5 linked regions of the Canis lupus familiaris genome follow. The protein of the gene in region 5 binds, or shares a complex with, the protein of the main gene of each other region. Links are inferred from orthologs where the notes say so. Each region holds a gene or a part of one and is shown on either strand. Other genes may lie near its edges.

Region 1 (4,263 bases), on a different chromosome or scaffold from region 5:
AATCCACCATTCCCAGGGGGCCGAACCAGGAGTGGGGGCAAGGGGCTGGGGTGATGCCCTGAGGGCCCTGGGGTAACTGTCTCCCCTCTGCCACCTCCACCCCCCCCAGAGTGTGGGGTGTGGGAACACGTCCATTTCTCTCCTTCCCTCCACCCTTCCCCAAATCTCACCTGAGCCTCCTGCACCTTCCCTGCCTGGGTCTCCAGAGGGTCAGAGGCTGGGGGAGGAGGGGGAGCAGACGTGGTTACAGTGCGGGGCACAGTTAAGTGGGGATGAAGGGCTTCAAAGCAGAGGGGCAAGGGGCAAGAAGACCCACCAACCTAATTATACTGGGGTGGGAGGTGGTGGTAAAAGCTGAGCAGAGGGAGGGAGGGGATGGGGAAAAGCAGATCTTATTAGGATAGACAGTGCTGTCTGGAGAAGTGGTTAGTGACAGACAGAGGCTGGGGCAGGAAGGTTTGGGAGAGGGAGGAGAAAGTAAAGCATACAGGCATGGAGGAAGACTTAGAAGTGAGGAAGCAAACAGTAGTGAGTGTGTGTGTGAGCACGTGTGTGTGCAGGGAGGGTTAGGGTTTACAAACAGAGGGAAGTTTAAAAAAGGAAGAGAGAAAACAAAATACGCTTAGCAGAGACAGGTTTAGGAAAGGAGGTGCAGTGGAGACAGCACGTTTAGGAGGGGCACAGGAACTAGAGGGACGAGACAGGAGGGGGCGCCAGGGGTCCCCGAGCATCCTACAGTTCCCCCTAACAACCAGGTACCCTTAGCAACCGGGGCCGCGGCAATCTAAGTCCTTAGCAACGAGGGTCCTCAGCAACCGAGGTGCGAGAAACACGCGGTCATTAGTAACTTAGGGGACGTAGCAAAGGACCCTTACAATCTCGCGACCCAGAAACCCACCAGCCTGGCAAGATGGATCACTTAGCAACGACCCCCCACCCCCGCCCCGATTCCCACTGGCCGCCATGCAGCCCCCGTCTCCAGCCCCACCACGCCGGTCCTCGGGCCCCGGGGCCTGCAGCCCTCAGCCAGGCCCCGGTGCGACCCGACCCTCCCACCGGGGCCCCCGACTCACGGTCCGGCTCGGCCATGGGCGCGGGGCGGGGGCCCTCGGGGCTGTCACCGACTGCTCTGTCCCGTGACGGCACCGGAAACAGGAGGGGCAGAGACAGGGCAGAGAACTACGACTCCCAGCAGTCATCGAGGATGCATACAGGCTTTTCGTCCAGCGGCGCCTGCCGCTCTCGGGCTAGGAAGACACGGACGGCGAGACTACGAGTCCCAGAGGGCTCCGCGCAGGCAGCCATGTTGGTAAAGGGCGGCCGGAAACTGTGGGAATGGGTAGAGAGCCGCAGTCCGTCTGAATACTCTGAATGGTCACTGTGTGGTAAGGGGGCGGGGCGTGTGCTCTTTAGGTCATTCTGATTGGGTGAGCCAAGGGGGAGTGTTGGGGAATTCCCCGCAGGGCGGAAGCGCCGGGGCTTCAGGCAAAGCCAGCTACAGGCGGGCGGCCGCTGGGGCCCCTGAGGCTTCGGGGGCCATGGCCGGGGTCGCGTGCTTGGGGAAAGCTGCGGAGGCCGACGAATGGTGCGACAGCGGCCTGGGCTCTCTGGGTCCCGACGCAGCAGCCCCCGGAGGACCGGGGCTGGGCGCCGAGCTGGGCCCGGGGTTGTCGTGGGCGCCCCTCGTCTTTGGCTACGTCACTGAGGATGGGGACACGTGAGTGAACCTTAGGCTGCCTAACGGGGCCCTAGGATCCCACCTCTGATTCCCTATTAGTCTCCTATCCCGGCTCCCTAACCTTTCACTCTTAAATCTAACTTCTGATGCTCGACTTTCTGATTTGTAACTCCTAACCTTTAGTAAAACCAATTTCCTAGCCAACTTTGACCCTAACTCCTTAATTTCTCCGACTTTCCTTTCTTGAGCTCTGCTTCATATTGCTCCACATCCCTATCCATTGATCCCCAAACTGGTTTTGATCTTCCCGACCCAAGTCCGGAGACCTTTGTTAGAGTTGTGGTCCAGACAGGCTCCTCCTCACCTCCTACCTCCAAATAGGATCCTTGATCCTTAGCCTCCTGATGGATGCGCCTTGAACTTAGATTTCCAAAATTAATACATGACCTTGATTCTTAACATTCTACCTTCTGAGCACCGATCTTCAGATCTTACATCCAAAGGGAAAACGTAAGCTCCATGATAGCAGGGATTGATGCCTGTTAAGTATTTGCTGAACACCACCACGTTCCAGGCACTGGTTTAGGTGCTGCGATAAAGCAGTGAGGAAAACAGACAAAAATTTCCGCTCTTGTGGAGTTTACATTCTAAGGTGCGTATGTAGACAGACAAAAGGACAGACAGGCTGACAGAAAGACAGGAAGGAAGGGAGGGAGGGAAAGAGGAGAGAGAAGGAACAAAAGAAACTAAGACACAGACGCAAAGTGAGAAAGAAGAGAAAGGAAAAGAAGAAACAAAGAAAAACGAAAAACAGTATAAAGGAAAGGCAGAAAAATAGTGTATCTGAAGGTAATAAGTTCTTTGGGGGAAAAATAAAGCAGGAAAACGAGATCCGTAGAGTATCTGGGGGAGAACTCTCCAGGCAGAAGGAACCAGAATTGTAAAGGGCGGTGAGGGATTGTCCTGGGGTTTTTTTGTGTATTTGTGTCTACTCATCCAGTCATGGTGACTAAACAGGGCTTGACCCATAAGAGGCGTGCAGGAAATATTGTTCTTTCCAAAGACCCCTGCTGAGGTTTCATTAGTTTTCTTTATTGGTTTTTTGCTTTCTATTTCATTGATCTCTGTTTTGATTTTCATTATTGCCCTCTTCGGCTTACTTTGGGTCTAATTTTTTTTTTTCTTTCTTTCTCTCTTTTTTTAAAGTTTCTTAAGGTGGCAGCTGAGATCATTCATTTGAGACCTTTCTTCTCTAACATTGGTGTTTCATGGTATAAATTTCCAGCAGCAGTACTTTAGCAGTCTCTCACAAATTCTGATATGTTGTGTTTTCATGTTCATTTAATTCAAGATACTTTGTAATTTCTCTTTTGATTTCTTCTTTGGCCAGTGGATTATTTAAAAATATGTTATTTAGGGCGCCTGGGTGGCTCAGTTGGTTGAGCTCAGGTTGTGATCTCAGGGTCCTGGGATGAGCCTCCCATTGGGCTCTGTGCTCAAGTGTGGCATCTGCTTGGAATTCTCTCTCTTTCTCCCTCTGCCCTTCCTGCTTATGCTCTCTCTAAAATAAATAAATAAATAAATCTTTTAAAAAGGGGTAGGGGGCAGAGGGAGAGGGAGAGAGAAACCCAAGCAGGCTCTGTTGGGAGCAGGGCGTGATCCCATGACCCTGAGATCAGGGCCTGAGCTGAAGCCAAGAGTTGGTCATCCAACCCACTGTGCCACCCTGATGCCCCTAAATAAATCTTTTTAAAAAAATAAATATGTTATTTAGTTTCCAGATATTTGGAAAGTTTTCCAAATGTCTCTCTTTTATTGATTTTTAATTTAATTCCCTTGTAGACTGAGAACATACTTTGTATGACTTGGATCCTCGTAAATTTATTGAGAATTGTTTTATGGTGCCACACATTATGCGTGCACTTGAAAAGAGTGAATATTCTGCTGTTGTTGGGTGTAGGGTTCTCTAAAAGTCAATTAGTGGTCCTATTGGTTTATCATTTTATATATCCTTACTAATGGTTTCTGTCTCCTTGTTCTATCAATTATTGAGGAGGGGGCATTGAAATCTCCAGCAGTCATTATGGATTTGTCTCTTGTTCTGTCAGGTTTTGCTTTGTGTAATTTGATGCTCTGTTATTAGGGCATGGATATGTAGAATTATTATGTTCTTTTGCTTAGTTGACCTCTTAATCATTACAAAATAACCTTCTCGATACTTGGTAATATTTCTTGCTCTAAAGTCTAGTATGATATTAAAATATTCACTCCTGGGCAGCCCCGGTGGCCCAGCAGTTTAGTGCCGCCTTCAGCCAGGGCATGATCCTGGAGATCCGGGATCGAGTCCCACATCAGGCTCCCTGCATGGAGCCTGCGTCTCCCTCTGCCTGTGTCTCTGCCTCTCTCTCTCTCTCTCTCTCTCTCTCTCTCTGTGAGTCTGTCATGAATAAATAAAATCTTAAAAAAACACAACTCACTCCTGCTTTCTTTTGACTGACTGGTGTTAGCACAGTATATCTTTTTCCACCCTTTTATTTTAACCTATCTTTTAATACCTATATTTAAAGGGTATTACTTGTAGGAAG
Region 2 (4,118 bases), on a different chromosome or scaffold from region 5:
TCTGCCCCAGACCAGAAGCTGCCAATCAGAAGAGGAGAAAAATATTAGAGACAGGCCCGCTGTGGCAACAGAGAAAAAGGCCAACAGATTGTCAGCGAAGGGGAATAGAGGAACTACAAAAGGCAGAAAAAAAAAAAAAAATCACTAAGTCCTAACATCCTAGAGTCCTTCAGTGCATTAATGGTGTATGTACCTCCTGGGAGCATCTTTTAACACCTAGGAAGAAGCCTGATGTAGAATAGAAACTTGATGTATTCGTTGAATCCACTACAACCTACCACAGTAAACACTTTTAATAATATTAACCCTCAATTTTCAAGAAAAGCCAAATGAAGTCCAATAAACTGCTTAAGAAAAAAAATAACCCATTTTAGAAAATCTTTGTATAGCACTTAACAGTGTTGTTGTTGTTGTTGTTTTTAAAGAAGTTTGACTCCTTAAAGGGCCAGATGCCAGTTCTGCTGATCATCACTTAATTGGAACAGTTCGCTTTGCATCAACCCTAGATAATGATGCATGTAGAACAGCCGGCTTGACTAAGTTGCCTTGAGCAGATTTCAAACTATGGTACATACACACAATAAGTCATCCTATGAAGTGTAAACTATATAAGATGGCAACAGATTGCACAGTTGAATCACTAGGGTGATGTAAAATAATTGTTCTAAAATGCACCATCACCATTCAGCAAACCCTTCGTACCCTGTGCCCAGCACTGGGCTAGGTGGTGGATTTATCTTTAGCGTTGCTTTCACTCTTAAGATTTGAAGGTATGGCAGAACTTCCATTCATATTTTGAAAGGTTAAATGAAATTTTAAATGCACAGCACAGCCATTACATAACAGGCATAGAAAACTGTTTCATGACTAGGATAGTGGGTTTTTTGGTGTTTAAGTACTCTATTTCCAAATGTCATAGAATTCTTAAGGGTATGAAAACCTATATATAAGAATGGAGTGCCTCATTCACTCAAGTTTTGTATAATGTGCTTTACCGTAGGCATGCCCTCTCGGAGTCGAGGTTGGGGTTCAGCTGTACTTCAGCGTTTCTGTTTTGGTTTGGTTTGTTATGTTTGTTTTAATGAAGCAAAAAACAATTTCGGCGATGACATTCAGTTCCCCTGGTAATTTTTTTTTTTTTTTTTTTTTTTTTCACGGCGAGTTACTAACTGCTAGATGCTAGAGTCAGAAAGAAACCTGACGTCTGGGGAGGTGTGGAAGGGGTGTTAATAGTTCAGTTACGGTGTTCGGGGGCGCACTGGGGGTAAGGTTTTGAAGCAGGAAAGGCAAGGGGTGGGGGGAGGAATCACGGTTCGTAGGACGCTGTCTCCTCTGCACTTTCCCTCGCCGCCACCCCAGATCCCCCCAGTTCAGAGGCGGGTTCGGCGAGATTCGGCCGCAGGAACCCGGGAGGCTCCCCGGCGCGGCCGCCACGGCCTCGTGATGTAATTGTCACCTCGTACGGGAGACCGAGCCGAGAGCGGGGCCGCCGAGGAGGTGGCAGCCCTGCTCTTTTTGCCTGGGCTGCTAGAGGGTCGGATTCTGGCCGGGATGCTGGAGATTGGCTGGCGGGCTCGCCGGGGACTTCGCGGTGACAAAGCAGCCGGAGAGAAGCCCTGCTCCTGGGTCCTACGCCCGCCGAGGAGCCGGACGCGCGCTCCTCAGGTCTCCCTCCCAGCCTCGCCCTCGGAGCCGCTCCCCCTCGGGCCCTGGGGGCCTCCCGCGGGCTGCGGCGTGGGGTCCGCGCGGCCCGGAGTTGGCGCCCCCGCCCCCCCCCCCCCCCAGTGAAGCAGGACACACGGATGCGGGCGGGGAGGCTGCGGGCGGGCGGGAGCCGCGGAGCGCGTGTCGTGCGGCGCCAGGGGACGGTGCCGGCCGCCTGCCCCGGCCCCCCAGCGCGAGCCCCCGGCCCGGGTCGCGGCGGGAGCCCCCGGCCGGGGGGCAGCTGTCCGGGCAGGGGCGGCGGCACGGAGCCGGGGGCCGGGGGCCGGGGGCCGGGGGCCGGGGGGGCGGCGCGGGCAGCCCCCGGCCCTCCCTCCCCGACGCGGGCCTCCCGCCGCCTCCGCGCCCGCAGCCCCCGCCCGCCGGCCGCGGGGCGCCCAGGGCGGGGGCTCGGCTCGCGCGAGCTGCGGGGCCCCGAGAGGCTGCCCCTGCCCCGGCGGCCATGGGAGGGAGGGGGAGAAAAGGGTTAAGAAACTTGGCTGAAGAGCTGAATGGCGTGGAGCGGCGAGGGGAGGGACCGGGCCGCGGCGGACTCGGCGGCGGAGGGAGGAGCGCGGCTGCGGGCGGGCGGGCGGGCGGCGAGCGAGGCGCTCAAAGTCAGCCTCGCAGACATTGCAGCAGAGCCCCGAACTCGGGAGGCGGCGGCGGCGGCGGCGGCGGCGGCGGCGGAGGCGGCGGCGGCGGCCGAGGCGGCGGCGGCGGCGGAGGCGGAGGCGGAGGCGGAGGGACTACCGGCCCCGCGCACGCCCGCCCGTGGCCCGCGGCCGCCCCTGCGCTCGGCGGCGCTGCTCGTGCGAGCGGAGCTCCCGGGGCGCCGGAGGACGGGGCGGCGGGCGCGGAGCCGCGGGAGCCTGGCGGAGCTCGGGGCGCGGAGCCGCGGCGGCCTCCGGTGAGTGGCGGCCGCGGCCGGGGGCGCCGGGAGCTCCGCGAGCTGCCGCGGGCGCCGCCGGAAACGGCCCGGGAGCGCGGCGGCGGCGGCGGCGGCGGCGGCGGCGGCGGCGGCGGCGGCGGCGGCGGGCAGGGCCGCGGGGGCGGCGGGGCGGCGGGGCGGGCGGGGGCATCGCCGCTCCTGCCGGCGCCGGGTCTTCCCGGGACCTCGGGGGGCCCAGGCGGCCGGCCCGGCAAGTTGCGGAGTTGGCCCCGGGCTCACGGTGGGTTCCCCGGAGGCGGCGGTCGCGCCCCGCTCGGCTGCCCCCTCGGCCCGGAGCCCGGGCGCGTGTGGCCGCGCGGCTCCGGGTCCTGCAGCCCGGGGCGACCTGGGCGGCGCCGGGCGCTGCCCCCCGCCTCCCGCCTCCCGCCCGGTGCCTGCCGGCGCGGCGCGCTCGCTGGATTCCGGGCCAAGAAAAGTGATCAGGAGCAGGGACAGCTCTCCTGGCCCTGCCCGGGCCCCCGGGCCCGGCCGCTCGGCCCTTGCGCCCCCGCCCCCGCCGCAGCCCTCCCCCGAGGGCGAGGCTCTTTGCACCCGAGGCCTCACCCATCACTCCCCCTGAGCCCCAAGCGGGGCTCGCGTTTGGGGTGAGCCCTGCGGAGGTCCTGGGAGGCTTCCTTCCCCTCTTATCTGTGTCCTCCTTAGCTACTAGTGAATATTGTTTTATGCACGGTTTCCCTGGAAATATTCTACAAACCCTCCCGTCCTTTCCAAAGTAGTTTCCAAATTTCCACCAAGAGTTGCTGTGCAGTCTGAAGGAACAAAGGAATCAACTGTGTCTCACGGGCCAACAGGCTGGGAGTCTGACACATGTTGATCTCTGAAGCCTTACAGGCGGTCCCATCTCCCATCCTATTAGTGGTTTAATTGGCTGCTGAAGATAGTGAAAGAAGAACAGAGTGATGAGTACTTTTGCGTTACATTTCTTAATAGGCTATTTTATTTCGGACGAAAAGGAAGACGTCCCTAGCTACAGGGACTTTTCACTCAGCCGGTGGGGCTGAGTTGGAGTTTGTCTCCGGTAATGTAAATGATTAAATCGTGAGATCGTGCGGGGGGTGAAAAACTGTCTTTAGGGGAAGAAAGACCGTCTGTTGATGTCCAAAGTGAAAATGGTTGTTGGGATCTATACGATGAATGCTTTTGCATTTCTGGGGGTGGGGGATTTGTGAAGCAGAAGGCTTTGGTAATTCATTCTTTAAAGTTATGAATTCCATGGAACCTGCTTATTAGTGAATCACAGGTTTAGCAAGTGGGTGTATTTTCCCGACGGATTATTCAGTGTTTAGTAACCAGGTTGCTACCTTCGTGGAAGAGACACTGAAATAAGTGGACTTTCTAAACAAGTAATGTTTCAATTGCTTGGCGCCCAAGTGTGGGTTGCTGCCTAGAGTGTGTTGAAATGTTTTTCAACTTAGAAATAAGTTGTTTTGGTTTTGTCCGGCGGTTTGGTAATGTCAGTTGGGTT
Region 3 (3,511 bases), on a different chromosome or scaffold from region 5:
AAGTTTAGTTACTTATTTGTTTGGAATATTTATAACAAGCTGACATATTTTTTGGAATCGGATTCATTCTATCACCTGTGAATGATATAGTAGTTTTGCATGTAAAAAATGTATAGGATTTAGTTTCTAAGGAGACTGAAAATGATGTTCTGTATACTTAGGGATTATTATTTATTAGGATTTAGTCTTATATTTGATTATTTTATGATCTTTTTCTTTGCCTTTTAGATTCTCCTGGGCTCCTCCAATTTGAAGTGTGTCCTCTCTCAGAGTCCCGTTTTAGCGTATCTTTTCAGCACCCTGTGAATGACTCCCTGGTGTGTGGTGAGTTTTGAGGGGGCTAGCTCTTTTCTTAGGGCAGTAGTTTGGGCTCTTTATCTTCTTTTTGGAAAGTCAGAAGCTGAATTTCTCTCAACTCCTATATGTTTTGTCTTTCAGTGGTAATGGATGTGCAGGACTCAACACATGTGAGCTGTAAACTGTACAAGGGGCTGTCAGATGCACTCATCTGCACAGATGACTTCATTGCCAAAGTTGTTCAAAGGTAGCACTGGCTCTTTTCCATCAGACTCCCATTTAGAGGGGTATAAGAAACACTGTTTTCAGTATTAAAGTGAATGGAAATTTAGGAGGGAAGCATTTATTTATTTTTTATTTTTTTAAAGATTTTATTTATTTATTCATAGACACAGAGAGAGAGGCAGAGACATAGGCAGAGGGAGAAGCAGGCTTCACGCTGGGAACCTGATGTGGGACTCGATCCCGGGTCTCCAGGATCACACCCCAGGCTGCAGGTGGCGCCAAACCGCTGCGCCACTGGGGCTGCCCAGGAGGGAAGCATGTAGTCACTGTTTTGAATTCACCTTTCTCTGCTTTGGGATTCAAAAGCAATGTGAGCTTTAGTTTTTTATTTTTTTTAAGGTTTTTATTTATTTATTAATGAGAGACAGAGGCAGAGACACAGGCGGAGGGAGAAGCAGGCTCCATGCAGGGAGCCTGTTGTGGGACTCGATCCTGGGTCTCTAGGATCAGGCTCTGGGCTGAAAGCGGCGCTAAACCACTGAGCCACCTGGCCTGCCCCAAGCTTTAGTTTTTTAAATACCATCATGGGAGTAATAGGAAGTAAGGTAGAGTAACTTTAGGTTGGTATAGGATTCTTTTAGGAAGGAAATACCTGAAATAAGATGTAGATTTTTTTTTTTAAGATTTTATTTATTTATTTGAGATAGAGAGTGAGATAGACAGGCAGAAAGAGAAGGAGCCAGGGGGACAGCCAGAAGGAGGGGGGAGAAGCAGACTACCCGCTGAGCAGGGAGCCTGACATGGGTATTGATCCCGGGAGTCTGGGATCATGACCTGAGCTAAAGACTGATGTTTAGCCAACTGAGCCCCTAGATTTTTTTTTTACTTATCTACTGCATCACTTTTTAACATATGTAATATATCAAATGGTGGCATGTAGGAAGATACTTTAAGCTAGTCAGCTTCCCAGAAACATTAATATGTAATTTTGAGATTTTTCTAGAGCTGATGCTTGTGGCCTGTTTTGTAAATAAATTTTATTGGAACACAGCTATGTTTGTTCATTTATATGTTGTCTCTTTTTTTTTTTTTTTTTTAAGATTTATTTTTTAGAGAGAATTTGAGGGGTGGGTGGGGGTTAGAAGGAGAGAGAATCCTAAGCAGACTCTACTGAGTGGGAAGTCTGATGTGGGGTTTGATCTCAGTACACTGAGATCATGACCTGAGGTAAAATCAAGAATTGGGACACTTAACCGACTGAGCCACTCAGGCACCCCTATATATTGTCTGTGGTGCCTTTCGAGCTAAGATGGCAGAATAGTTGGACAAAAACCATGTGATCTTCAAAATCCTAAAATACTACTATTTTGGTCTCTTTAAGAAAAGTTGCTAAAATGTTCTAGAGCAAAGTGTTTTCGAAAATACTTTTTTTTTTTTAATTTATTTATGATAGTCATACAGAGAGAGAGGGAGAGAGAGGCAGAGACATAGGCAGAGGGAGAAGCAGGCTCCATGCACCGGGAGCCTGACGTGGGATTCGATCCCGGGTCTCCAGGATCGCACCCTGGGCCAAAGGCAGGCGCCAAACCGCTGCGCCACCCAGGGATCCCGAAAATACGTTTTTAAACTTATCTATAAGATAAAAAGTGCTTTGCTTTAAAATAATAAAGATTGTAGGGGATTCTTGGGTGGCTCAGTGGTTTAGCGCTTGCCTTTGGCCCAGGTGTGATCCTGGAGTCCCGGGATCGAGTTCTGCGTCGGGCTCCTGGCATGGAGCCTGCTTCTCCCTCTTCCTGTGTCTCTGCCTCTCTCTCTATATATATATCATATGTAAATAAGTAAATAAATCATTTAAAAAAATAATAAAGATTTTAGAGCAATAATAGCATCTTTCACAATATAGCTTTGGGATGCTTTAAGCCATTAAGGTTTATTTTTGTTTTATTTTATTTTATTTTATTTTATTTTATTTTATTTTATTTTATTTTATTTTATTTTATTTTATTTTATTTTATTTTATGATTTATTTTTTAAAGAGTTTATTTATTCATGAGACACACAGAAAGAGAGGCAGAGACACAGACAGAGGAGATGCAGGCTCCATGCAGGGAGCCCAATGTGGGACTCGATCCCGGGACTCCAGGATCATGCCCTGGGCCAAAGGCAGGCGCTAAACCGCTGAGCCACCCAGGTGTCCCACCATTAAGGTTTAGTTTTTTTTTATTATTATTATTATTTTTTGCCATTAAGGTTTAGAACTTGATGTTTCAAGAGCTTTTTCTAGTGTTTCATTAATTAAGGTAAATATTATATCCCATTAATCACATGTGAAGTCCTAAAAGGAGGGCTTTTTTTTAAAGATTTTATTTATTTGAGAGAGTGACAGAGCAAGCATGAACAAGGTGGTGGGGGATGGGCAGAGGGAGAGGGAGAAGCAGACTCCCCTTTGAGCAGGGAGCTGATGTGGGGCTCGATCCCAGGACCCTGGGATCATGACCTGCGCTGAAGGCAGATGCTTAACCACCTGAGCTACCCAGGCGCCCCAGGAGGGCATTTTCTTACTGAGTTCATTATTACCAGTTTTCTTTTGGTTTAGTATGACATGTAATTTGGACTTTGTGGTTGGTTTGTTTTGGGTAGTGCTTTAAAAGAGGTTAAGATTGCCTACTGGTACAGATTCCTTTTAGAATGAATTTGCCCAATGCTCCAGCATTTTATAGAACTATTTCTGTCTTACCGGTTACTTGCCTTACCTGAAAATTCCTTACTGTAAACCTCTGAGTACATATCTGAATTTCAGGCAAAATTAAAGCCTGTTTTCCCAAATAAAAATTGTTTTCTTTCAGCAGCTAATACATTGCTGATTTTGTTTTTTCTATCTTATCTTACAGATGTATGTCCATCCCTGTGACGATGAGGGCTATTCGGAGGAAAGCTGAAACCATTCAGGCCGACACCCCAGCACTGTCCCTCATTGCAGAGACAGTTG
Region 4 (3,511 bases), on a different chromosome or scaffold from region 5:
TTTAAGTCTCATCCCAGATTCTAACAATAAATGTAAACCCAGCCAAAGAGCTAGGAGGCCTGGGCTGACGGGGCAGACAAGAGAGAAGGGAGCCATGTGCTCTTGCAGGTGTTAGGGAGATTGGCACCGATGGGTGCCCTGGTCTTAGCCAGTACCTCTTCCCTGGAGGGTAGGAGCACCTTCCTGGTGCCGCCTTGTTCACTGGTGCTTCACCTGACTTTCTCCCTTCATCCGCTTGTGCTGCCCTGCCCTCACCCCACCAAACCACTCTCACCACCATATTGGTGCCATTTTTCTGTATTTGATAAGTGTTACGTCACCATCTTTTCTGATTTGCTGGGTGATTTCTGTTGTACATCTTGCATATATATTCTAACTTATTTTGCTTAGAGTTTGGCATGTTGTAACTATTTTCCTGTGGGTACTTTTTCTAATGAATCATTGTGGGTGCATTTACAGGGATGAATTCATTTACCCCAATGTCCTTGGGGAATGTACAGTTGCCACAAGCTCCCATAGGACCACGTGCAGCATCCCCCATGAACCACTCTGTCCCGATGAACAGCATGGGCTCCGTTCCAGGGGTAAGTGCTTCCTTTTGCCTCAGCTGTGCTGAGAAGGCCTTGCTTGAATAAGGAAAATTCCCTACACAGTGAAATTGTAGATCCAAGAATCCTGTGGTGCTTGGTCCTCTGGATTTGATTGTGCTTTATTTACTTCATATGTCCCTCTCTTTTTGGTCTTCATTACTATAAATGAGAATTATTTGGCCATTGTTTTTTATTGGGCTAATAAATTCATAGGGACTTGGGGCTTCATGAGAAGATACAAGTTCTGAGATTAGAGTGGGCAATCTCAGATATGTCGTTGAGAGGTCCTTGACAGTGTCTCCTGACTTCTAGGGCTTCCTCTACTGGGGCTACTTTCTTAACGCTTCAGAGAAGTCGTAAAAGGTGTATTTTGACCTTTAAAGTATAGCATGTTATTGATCTCTATTCAGAGATAAATTTGAAGTTGGTTCCTTGGAGACCTTGCATGAGGAAGCATGCGGAGTGCCTGGGAGCCAGAAGGTCTCAGTGATGGTTCTCTTTCCACAGGGAAGGGAGGATTCAGAGTTCTGTCTCTCCCAGTTTATCTTCAAGACTCTGGCTCTTGTCCTCTGATCTCTTGATGATACTTGTCTTTTAGATGGCCATTTCTCCTTCCCGGATGCCTCAGCCTCCGAACATGATGGGCACTCATGCCAACAATATTATGGCCCAGGCACCTGCGCAGAACCAGTTCCTGCCACAGAACCAGTTCCAGTCCTCCAGTGGGGCGATGAGTGTGAACAGTGTAGGCATGGGGCAGCCAGCAGCCCAGACAGGCGTGCCACAGGTACCGTGCACCAGTGATGGGGTCCCCGCTTCCTCTTGACTCAAGCATATCTTATGAGATTAGAATTCCAGAATACACGTTTTATTTTTACGTTTGAGCATCTCTTGATTTTTTTTTTAACCCCCATTCAGTTTTGTTATTTTTACCTTCTTTAGAATGACTCTTATCATCATTCAACTTCATACCAAACGGAATGGATTGTGGTTTTTTGGGTTTTGGGTTTTTAGTTATCATTTTCTTGGTTTTTAGTTGTGTGTTTTAAATTCACATGTGATCCTGAGAGACCTTGAATATTACAGTGAGGACAGGCCTGTTAACTCAGCCTGGCAGTTTGGTTGGTGTGTCCTATTGTTTGTCTCTCTGAGCTTGTCATCCTGGGTAAGGTCCGCTAACTGGATTGATTGAATAGTTCTCGTCGTGTTTTTAAGTACTCTGTTTAAAGCTGAAGAAAACTATTTTCCATTCTGTTTAGTGCCTTTTTTCTTTTGATAATTAATTGTGATATATCAGATTGTTGCTATGTACACATGTGCATGTATTTAGAATAGACCAAATCTTCCCCTGGAAGATAATATTCATGTTTTCATTTTTTACATGAAGTATTAAAAAAAAAAAAGGTCATTAACTACACTAGATTTACTCACTAAATACTTATTAATTCTTCATTTCTGTAGCACTTTACTGCTCTAGAATAGCAAACTTGTTTCTGTAAATGTTTTCAACTCTGTGGGCCACAGAGTCTTTGTTTTCACTACTCAGCTCCATGGTTGTGGTAGAAAAGCAGCCATAGGCATAGTCATTCACACATAAATGAATGGGCGTGGCTGTGTTCCAATAAAACTTTACTATAAGAACAGGCAGCTAGCTGGATTGGGCCATGGGCATTAGTTTGCAGACCCCTGCTCTAGAGCAGTGATTTGGAATCACTTTTTTAAAACGTCCAAATAATATGAAGCAAGTCTCCATTTGGAAATCACTTTGCTGAAACATTTTAGTGTTTTAATAATTTCTTTTTAAAAAGAAAAAATAATAAATAAATAAAAAGAAAAATACCTTTTCCAGTGATCTAAACTATGGGTAGATGTTTTGGAGCACAAAGCTAGTAAGCTGAATGGGTATGTGTTAGTTTAAGCCAGAGGTTTCAGCAGTTCTATAAATCACAGTATAAGAAAGCATTCCACAGCATTAACTTCACTGGAAAGTGCACGTTATTGTAAGTGTACAGCTGGGTGAATTTTTACAAATGGCACATTCCCTTGAAACCAGCAGACCTCACCAAGAAGCCATGGTTAGATTTTCGTGCATTTAATTCTTCAAATCTGTTGTCACATTTTCACATGGGGAAATAATTTTAACATACTCTGTTCTCTCTATTAGGGACAGGTGCCTGGTGCTGCTCTTCCTAACCCTCTGAACATGCTTGGGCCCCAGGCCAGCCAGCTGCCCTGCCCACCAGTGACACAGTCACCATTGCACCAGACACCACCTCCTGCTTCCACGGCTGCTGGCATGCCGTCTCTCCAGCACCCGACGGCACCCGGGATGACTCCTCCCCAGCCTGCAGCTCCCACCCAGCCATCAACTCCCGTGTCGTCTTCCGGGCAGACTCCCACCCCGACTCCTGGCTCGGTGCCCAGTGCGAGCCAAACCCAGAGCACCCCTACAGTCCAGGCAGCAGCCCCGGCCCAAGTGACCCCACAGCCTCAAACCCCAGTCCAGCCCCCATCTGTGGCTACCCCGCAGTCATCACAGCAACAGCCGACACCTGTGCACCCCCAGCCTCCTGGCACACCGGTGAGCCCCGCAATCTGTCTTTGGGCTGAGACTCGTAATCGAGGACTTCCCCATAAAAAACATCCTGTCACAAAGCTGCCTTTGTGTCTTGGTGCAACCCCAGAAGGTGCCTGTACCCTAATCAAACTGTAGGAGCTATATTTTGTTTCCGACATTGGCTCCAAAGGCCATGTTTGGATCTGGCAGGATGTAACTTAAGATTATCTTTTTTAATTAAACGAGTTTTCAGAAATCAGTAGTTATAAAGAAATCAAACATAGGTCTGTACATAGGAGCCGTTGGTTCCCCATTATCCTAGGCAGGTGTCTTCTGAGTTTTAGTAATTTTTCTCTTAACATCA
Region 5 (4,135 bases):
TCCTTTATTGACAATTCAAGCTGAATAACCTAGTTCTACACACCTATAATTACCTCAGTCATTTGGACTGTCAAGGAGCTTGCTTTAACTTGAACTACCTTAGTAAAAGTTTCTTGGTTTTCAAAGGCTTTTAAGCAATATCAATGCCCAGTTCTCCACTTTATTCTGTGCTGTTGAGACCCTGTGAGCATTTTCCCCACCAGGCTGTTGCTGTGTGATTAACAGGGAAACTTTTGTTAGTTCCCCTGCAGGATGACCAGTTAGCTACTCAATGTAGATTAAATAGATAGACTTATTCCACTTGGAGAATACTGGGTTAAGTTGAAGGGAATTACTGCCATCTGGTATATCGCCCTAAGTGGGGGCATCTTTATTACATCCACAAGTCACTGCAATTCTATCAGGCCACTTATGTGACAAGTGGGGACCTGCTTCCATGCTGAAGTTTGGCACGGCTTGTGTTTCTCCTTGCCAAAAAGGGCAAAGGACTTGAGCAAGAAGCCAGCTTTCTCCTGATTACAAAACTGACCACAGTTCCTCGCCAACCTATCAGTGTGAGTCAATTTTTTTTTTTTTTTTTTTGGCTAATACATTATTCTTCTCAGAGAGAACTCCACTTTTTTTCATTATGACATGGCATTTATCATTTAAACATCTGCTATGTTCAGACATGGGTACAGCAGTACTGCCTTTGCCTAGTGATGGATAAACTTAATAATCAAGTGACTAAAAAAGCAAACCCTGATACACGACATCTAAACTATATCTCTCAACTACTTAATTTTATAGAATTTGTTAGTATCATTTTGGCCTTTCTAAAGTTGGCAAACAAATGCCTCAGAAAATAACATTTCAGCAGCATGCTGATGCCAAACTTTAAAATACAAGTACATGTTTTAATTAAATAGTTTTCTTCAGATAATAACAGTTTAGAGATTCAACCAGGGATGGGCAGCTACAAAAAAATGTTGTTGAAGTAAGTTTATCTGGTACTTCATAACCCAGAGATGTAAAGTTTAAGAAACAATTGAAAATTGAACAATCTCTTTGCTCCGATAGCTCTAAATACTGTACAACTCACACCCCTCACAAGACACAGAACATGTGGGTCACTGGCGAGACAGTGTGGCAATGTTTTCCTTGTAATGTACCAAGTCTTGCCAAAGCAGTGAGCAACATCATGACACAACATTTGTCACAGCTGGCTCTCTAACAGGACAGTACCAGCCAATTCAGGCCTAGTCCTTTGTGGATTTATTCCCACCTCTCCCAAATATTTGGAAACTGATGTCTTAACTCATTGGTTGTGTTCACAAGTTCTACTACTGCAAGTCTTTTTCTTTTAATGGATTGGTCTTTTGCAAGAAATAGACAAAATATCAGTGTGAATTACAGAAAATCCCTCTTCCATGCTGTTATGGGTGAAACTCTGGGAGATTCTCTCATTGACCCAGAAAGCGACTCCTTTGCTGATACACTGTCTGCAAGCACTTCACAAGGTAAAGTCAACTCCAGATACGGCTCTTGGGTTACTTTGGGCATTTATAGAATGGTAAAATTGCTCTTGTCGTTTGTTTTCCAAGTTACATTCTAGTATGAGTTGTGTCTAGGCCACTATTTTAATGTCTACTTTGCTGTGTTTGTGTTCACTTATAAGCATCAGAGCTTTGAAAAAGAAGCCTAAGCTAATCCATATTTATCTCTATGCATAGCTCCCATTTCCTGAATTTTAAGCATTAAAGGTATGTTTATATTTTTAAAGATCCTATTCATTTTTATTTTCTAGTTTTATATATTTTCCTTTTTAAAAAAATAATTTATTTATTCATGAGAGACAGAGAGAGAGAGGCAGAGACACAGGCAGAGGGAGAAGCAGGCTCCCTGTGGGGAGCCTGATGTGGGACTCGATCCCAGGACTCCGGGATCATGCCCTGAGAGAAAGGCAGATGCCCAATTGCTGAGCCACCCAGGTGTCCCTATATATTTTCCTAAATATACTTAAGGTCTTTTTAGAATACCTGGGGTGGGGGGAGTGTCCCTTTTCCCGTTTTATAGTCTTATGGTACATATCTCTCAGGCGGCTTTTATCCCTCCCACAGCATTTTTATTCCTCTTAAAGCTCTCTCAACATGTTTTTGTTCTACTTTGAAATCTAGATATTTGTACATGTTATCTTTCCAGAGAAGTGTACACTGAGTGTAAAACCAGCTTATAATCTTCTTTAGATTTCTTAGGATACCTAGCATGGTGCCTAATGCATTATAGAATAAATAGATTGTGGGGCCTCGGAGAATGTCTATTCCAAGCATTTCATTTTACACACAAAGAAAATAACATCCCTAAATGCCTATTGCATACTAAGTAAATGATTAGCTATTACTTGCACTCAAATATATAAGATTCAAGCAGATACCTCATTTTTCAAAATTCCTTTCTTGACCATTGCAAAATATAAGTTCTTCATTTCTACAGCTCCTTCTACTGGAGTTTCTTAGCACAGCTTCTTCTGTTTTGTACTGTTTCATATTTATTTCTATATTTCTGGTTATTTTTTCTCATAGATACTATGTAAAAATAGATTGTGTTAACTAGTGTGATTTGTGTTTTATAAAATAAGTGCTGAAGTGTTACAGTTAAGTCACTTCATTGTTGAAATGAATGCCTTTACATTTCAATGTGTTAATTTTTCTGGAAGCCTGAAGTTTGAACATACTAATCACTTGTTTTTTGCTTAAACACTTGGCTGTTTAAAAATTAAGAAAAAATATTTCCTGAAATACTATTTCATTCTCTTAGGGTGATTTGATTCAATATATATATCTGTCACCTGAGCCTCTTAAATATGAGTTTGGTTTCATTATATTATATAAAAATATGTTATTCTTTGTTTCTAAAAGCCATAGAAATTATTACTATCTTTCTCCAGTTATTAGTTTAGCCTGCTGATATCAGGATAGATGTGAAATAGTCCTTGAGTCAAAATTTGATAATTTTGTCTGTTTGCAAAAAATGTGTTCAGAATGTAGTGCAATAAATATTTTAGGTTAACTGAGGAAAAATACTGTTTATGGTAAGAGATAGTTATGTGATTCCAGTTAGTTTTCATTCTGTACTGATCTCTATATATTTATGTCTTGGATTTGCCCAGGGCCTAATTGTTTTGAGTCTCAAATCCCCTTCAAAGGAATAACTCAGTACTTTTCTTCTTAATTAGTACAGAATAAAATTAATAGCAATTAAGAAATGACATATTGTGCCAATTATTTAACTTTTGTTTATATGGTCTCTGATTACTTCTTATTCATGTTGTTTTTCTGTTGAAAATGTTATTCCTAAAGGCCAAACACCTATGATTGTTAACTTCAATTGCATTTAGACATATAGGGGGGCCTGAGTGACTCAGTTAAGTGTCTGTCTTTGGCTCAGGTCATGGTCCCAGGGTCCTGGGATGGAGCCCCACCTCGGGTTCCCTGCTCAGTGGGGAGCCTGCTTCTTCCTCTCCCTCTGCTGCTCCCCCTGCTTGTTCTCTCTCTCTGTCAAATAAATAAATAAAATCTTTAAAAAAAGAATTTAGACATAATCGTCATTTGCTCTTTGAGCCTATCAGAGATGAAACACTGTAGAGTTTAGGTACTTGGCTTTAATACAGTAATTAATTTAGGTGCTCCTTCTTCTTTAGACAAGGTGGGATTGGGGGTTGTTGCAAGTAGCTCGGTGCTACTTTGAAGTAAAAGTGGCTTGTTGAGTGTGAATGATCCAGATGTCCAAGCCATATGGGTCATATTCATGAGATTCAAAAATTTATGTAGCCACTATGCCCAAAGAGGACTTCTGTGCTTTTCCTGGGCTCCATTATCACAGTGACCTCCTGCCTTTATCTTATTCCCCTATTTTCATCATGAGCTTCTCAAGTAACCCCAAGTAACCCCATTCTGGCTCTGAAACCATTTCCACTAGTAAAAATTGGCAAGACTGAAGGGAAGCTTCCACAAACTGAAGCTGAATATGCCTCCTGCTTTTAGTGCCAGACTTAGTCCTGTGTGAATTCTATAATTTTAAAGTGTTGCACCAGAGCATTGAAAGATGATGACATGCTTGTCCTTTGGAGCTGATTGAGCAATGGAAATATGCCTTG

What was found.
Region 1: the proteins of PPARG (region 5) and NFKBIB are in contact, whole or in part, in a crystal structure (PDB 9CK0), measured with the Homo sapiens proteins. The link is inferred for Canis lupus familiaris from reciprocal best matches to the Homo sapiens genes PPARG and NFKBIB. Residues at the interface, in NP_056953.2 of Homo sapiens: Gln322, Thr325, Lys329, Phe334, Leu339, Gln342, Val343, Leu346, Lys347, Leu496, Glu499, Ile500; in NP_002494.2 of Homo sapiens: Asn286, Pro287, Ile288, Leu289, Ala290, Leu292, Leu293, Arg294, Ala295.
Region 2: the proteins of PPARG (region 5) and NRIP1 are in contact, whole or in part, in a crystal structure (PDB 9CWN), measured with the Homo sapiens proteins. The link is inferred for Canis lupus familiaris from reciprocal best matches to the Homo sapiens genes PPARG and NRIP1. Residues at the interface, in NP_056953.2 of Homo sapiens: Val321, Gln322, Thr325, Lys329, Phe334, Leu339, Gln342, Val343, Leu346, Lys347, Pro495, Leu496, Glu499, Ile500, Lys502; in NP_001426204.1 of Homo sapiens: Ser130, Thr131, Leu132, Leu133, Ala134, Leu136, Leu137, Ser139.
Region 3: the proteins of PPARG (region 5) and MED1 are in contact, whole or in part, in a crystal structure (PDB 6ONJ), measured with the Homo sapiens proteins. The link is inferred for Canis lupus familiaris from reciprocal best matches to the Homo sapiens genes PPARG and MED1. Residues at the interface, in NP_056953.2 of Homo sapiens: Val321, Gln322, Thr325, Glu326, Lys329, Phe334, Leu339, Asn340, Asp341, Gln342, Val343, Thr344, Leu346, Lys347, Gly427, Leu429, His494, Pro495, Leu496, Glu499, Ile500, Lys502; in NP_004765.2 of Homo sapiens: Asn638, Thr639, Asn641, His642, Pro643, Met644, Leu645, Met646, Leu648, Leu649, Lys650, Asp651.
Region 4: the proteins of PPARG (region 5) and CREBBP are in contact, whole or in part, in a crystal structure (PDB 7RLE), measured with the Homo sapiens proteins. The link is inferred for Canis lupus familiaris from reciprocal best matches to the Homo sapiens genes PPARG and CREBBP. Residues at the interface, in NP_056953.2 of Homo sapiens: Val321, Gln322, Thr325, Glu326, Lys329, Phe334, Val335, Leu339, Asn340, Gln342, Val343, Thr344, Leu346, Lys347, Leu496, Glu499, Ile500, Lys502; in NP_004371.2 of Homo sapiens: Asp62, Ala63, Ala64, Lys66, His67, Lys68, Gln69, Leu70, Ser71, Leu73, Leu74, Arg75.

What each region holds. Positions count from the first base shown.
Region 1 is NC_049222.1:115,001,078-115,005,340, reverse strand, and holds the start of NFKBIB (NF-kappa-B inhibitor beta), read left to right. Parts: upstream 1-1,453; 5' UTR 1,454-1,538; coding exon 1,539-1,717; intron 1,718-4,263. Other genes in the region: SIRT2 (NAD-dependent protein deacetylase sirtuin-2), read right to left, coding at 1,074-1,199. UniProt on the Homo sapiens protein: Inhibits NF-kappa-B by complexing with and trapping it in the cytoplasm.
Region 2 is NC_049252.1:12,381,605-12,385,722, reverse strand, and holds the start of NRIP1 (nuclear receptor-interacting protein 1), read left to right. Parts: upstream 1-1,318; 5' UTR 1,319-1,445; exon of another isoform or gene 1,446-1,665; intron 1,666-2,554; exon of another isoform or gene 2,555-2,611; intron 2,612-3,292; exon of another isoform or gene 3,293-3,671; intron 3,672-4,118. UniProt on the Homo sapiens protein: Modulates transcriptional activation by steroid receptors such as NR3C1, NR3C2 and ESR1. Also modulates transcriptional repression by nuclear hormone receptors.
Region 3 is NC_049230.1:22,961,968-22,965,478, forward strand, and holds part of MED1 (mediator of RNA polymerase II transcription subunit 1), read left to right. Parts: intron 1-228; coding exon 229-324; intron 325-438; coding exon 439-544; intron 545-3,413; coding exon 3,414-3,511. UniProt on the Homo sapiens protein: Component of the Mediator complex, a coactivator involved in the regulated transcription of nearly all RNA polymerase II-dependent genes.
Region 4 is NC_049227.1:37,799,371-37,802,881, forward strand, and holds part of CREBBP (CREB-binding protein), read left to right. Parts: intron 1-459; coding exon 460-584; intron 585-1,188; coding exon 1,189-1,377; intron 1,378-2,754; coding exon 2,755-3,171; intron 3,172-3,511. UniProt on the Homo sapiens protein: Acetylates histones, giving a specific tag for transcriptional activation. Mediates acetylation of histone H3 at 'Lys-18' and 'Lys-27' (H3K18ac and H3K27ac, respectively).
Region 5 is NC_049241.1:6,278,945-6,283,079, reverse strand, and holds the start of PPARG (peroxisome proliferator-activated receptor gamma), read left to right. Parts: upstream 1-1,329; 5' UTR 1,330-1,417; coding exon 1,418-1,499; intron 1,500-4,135. UniProt on the Homo sapiens protein: Nuclear receptor that binds peroxisome proliferators such as hypolipidemic drugs and fatty acids.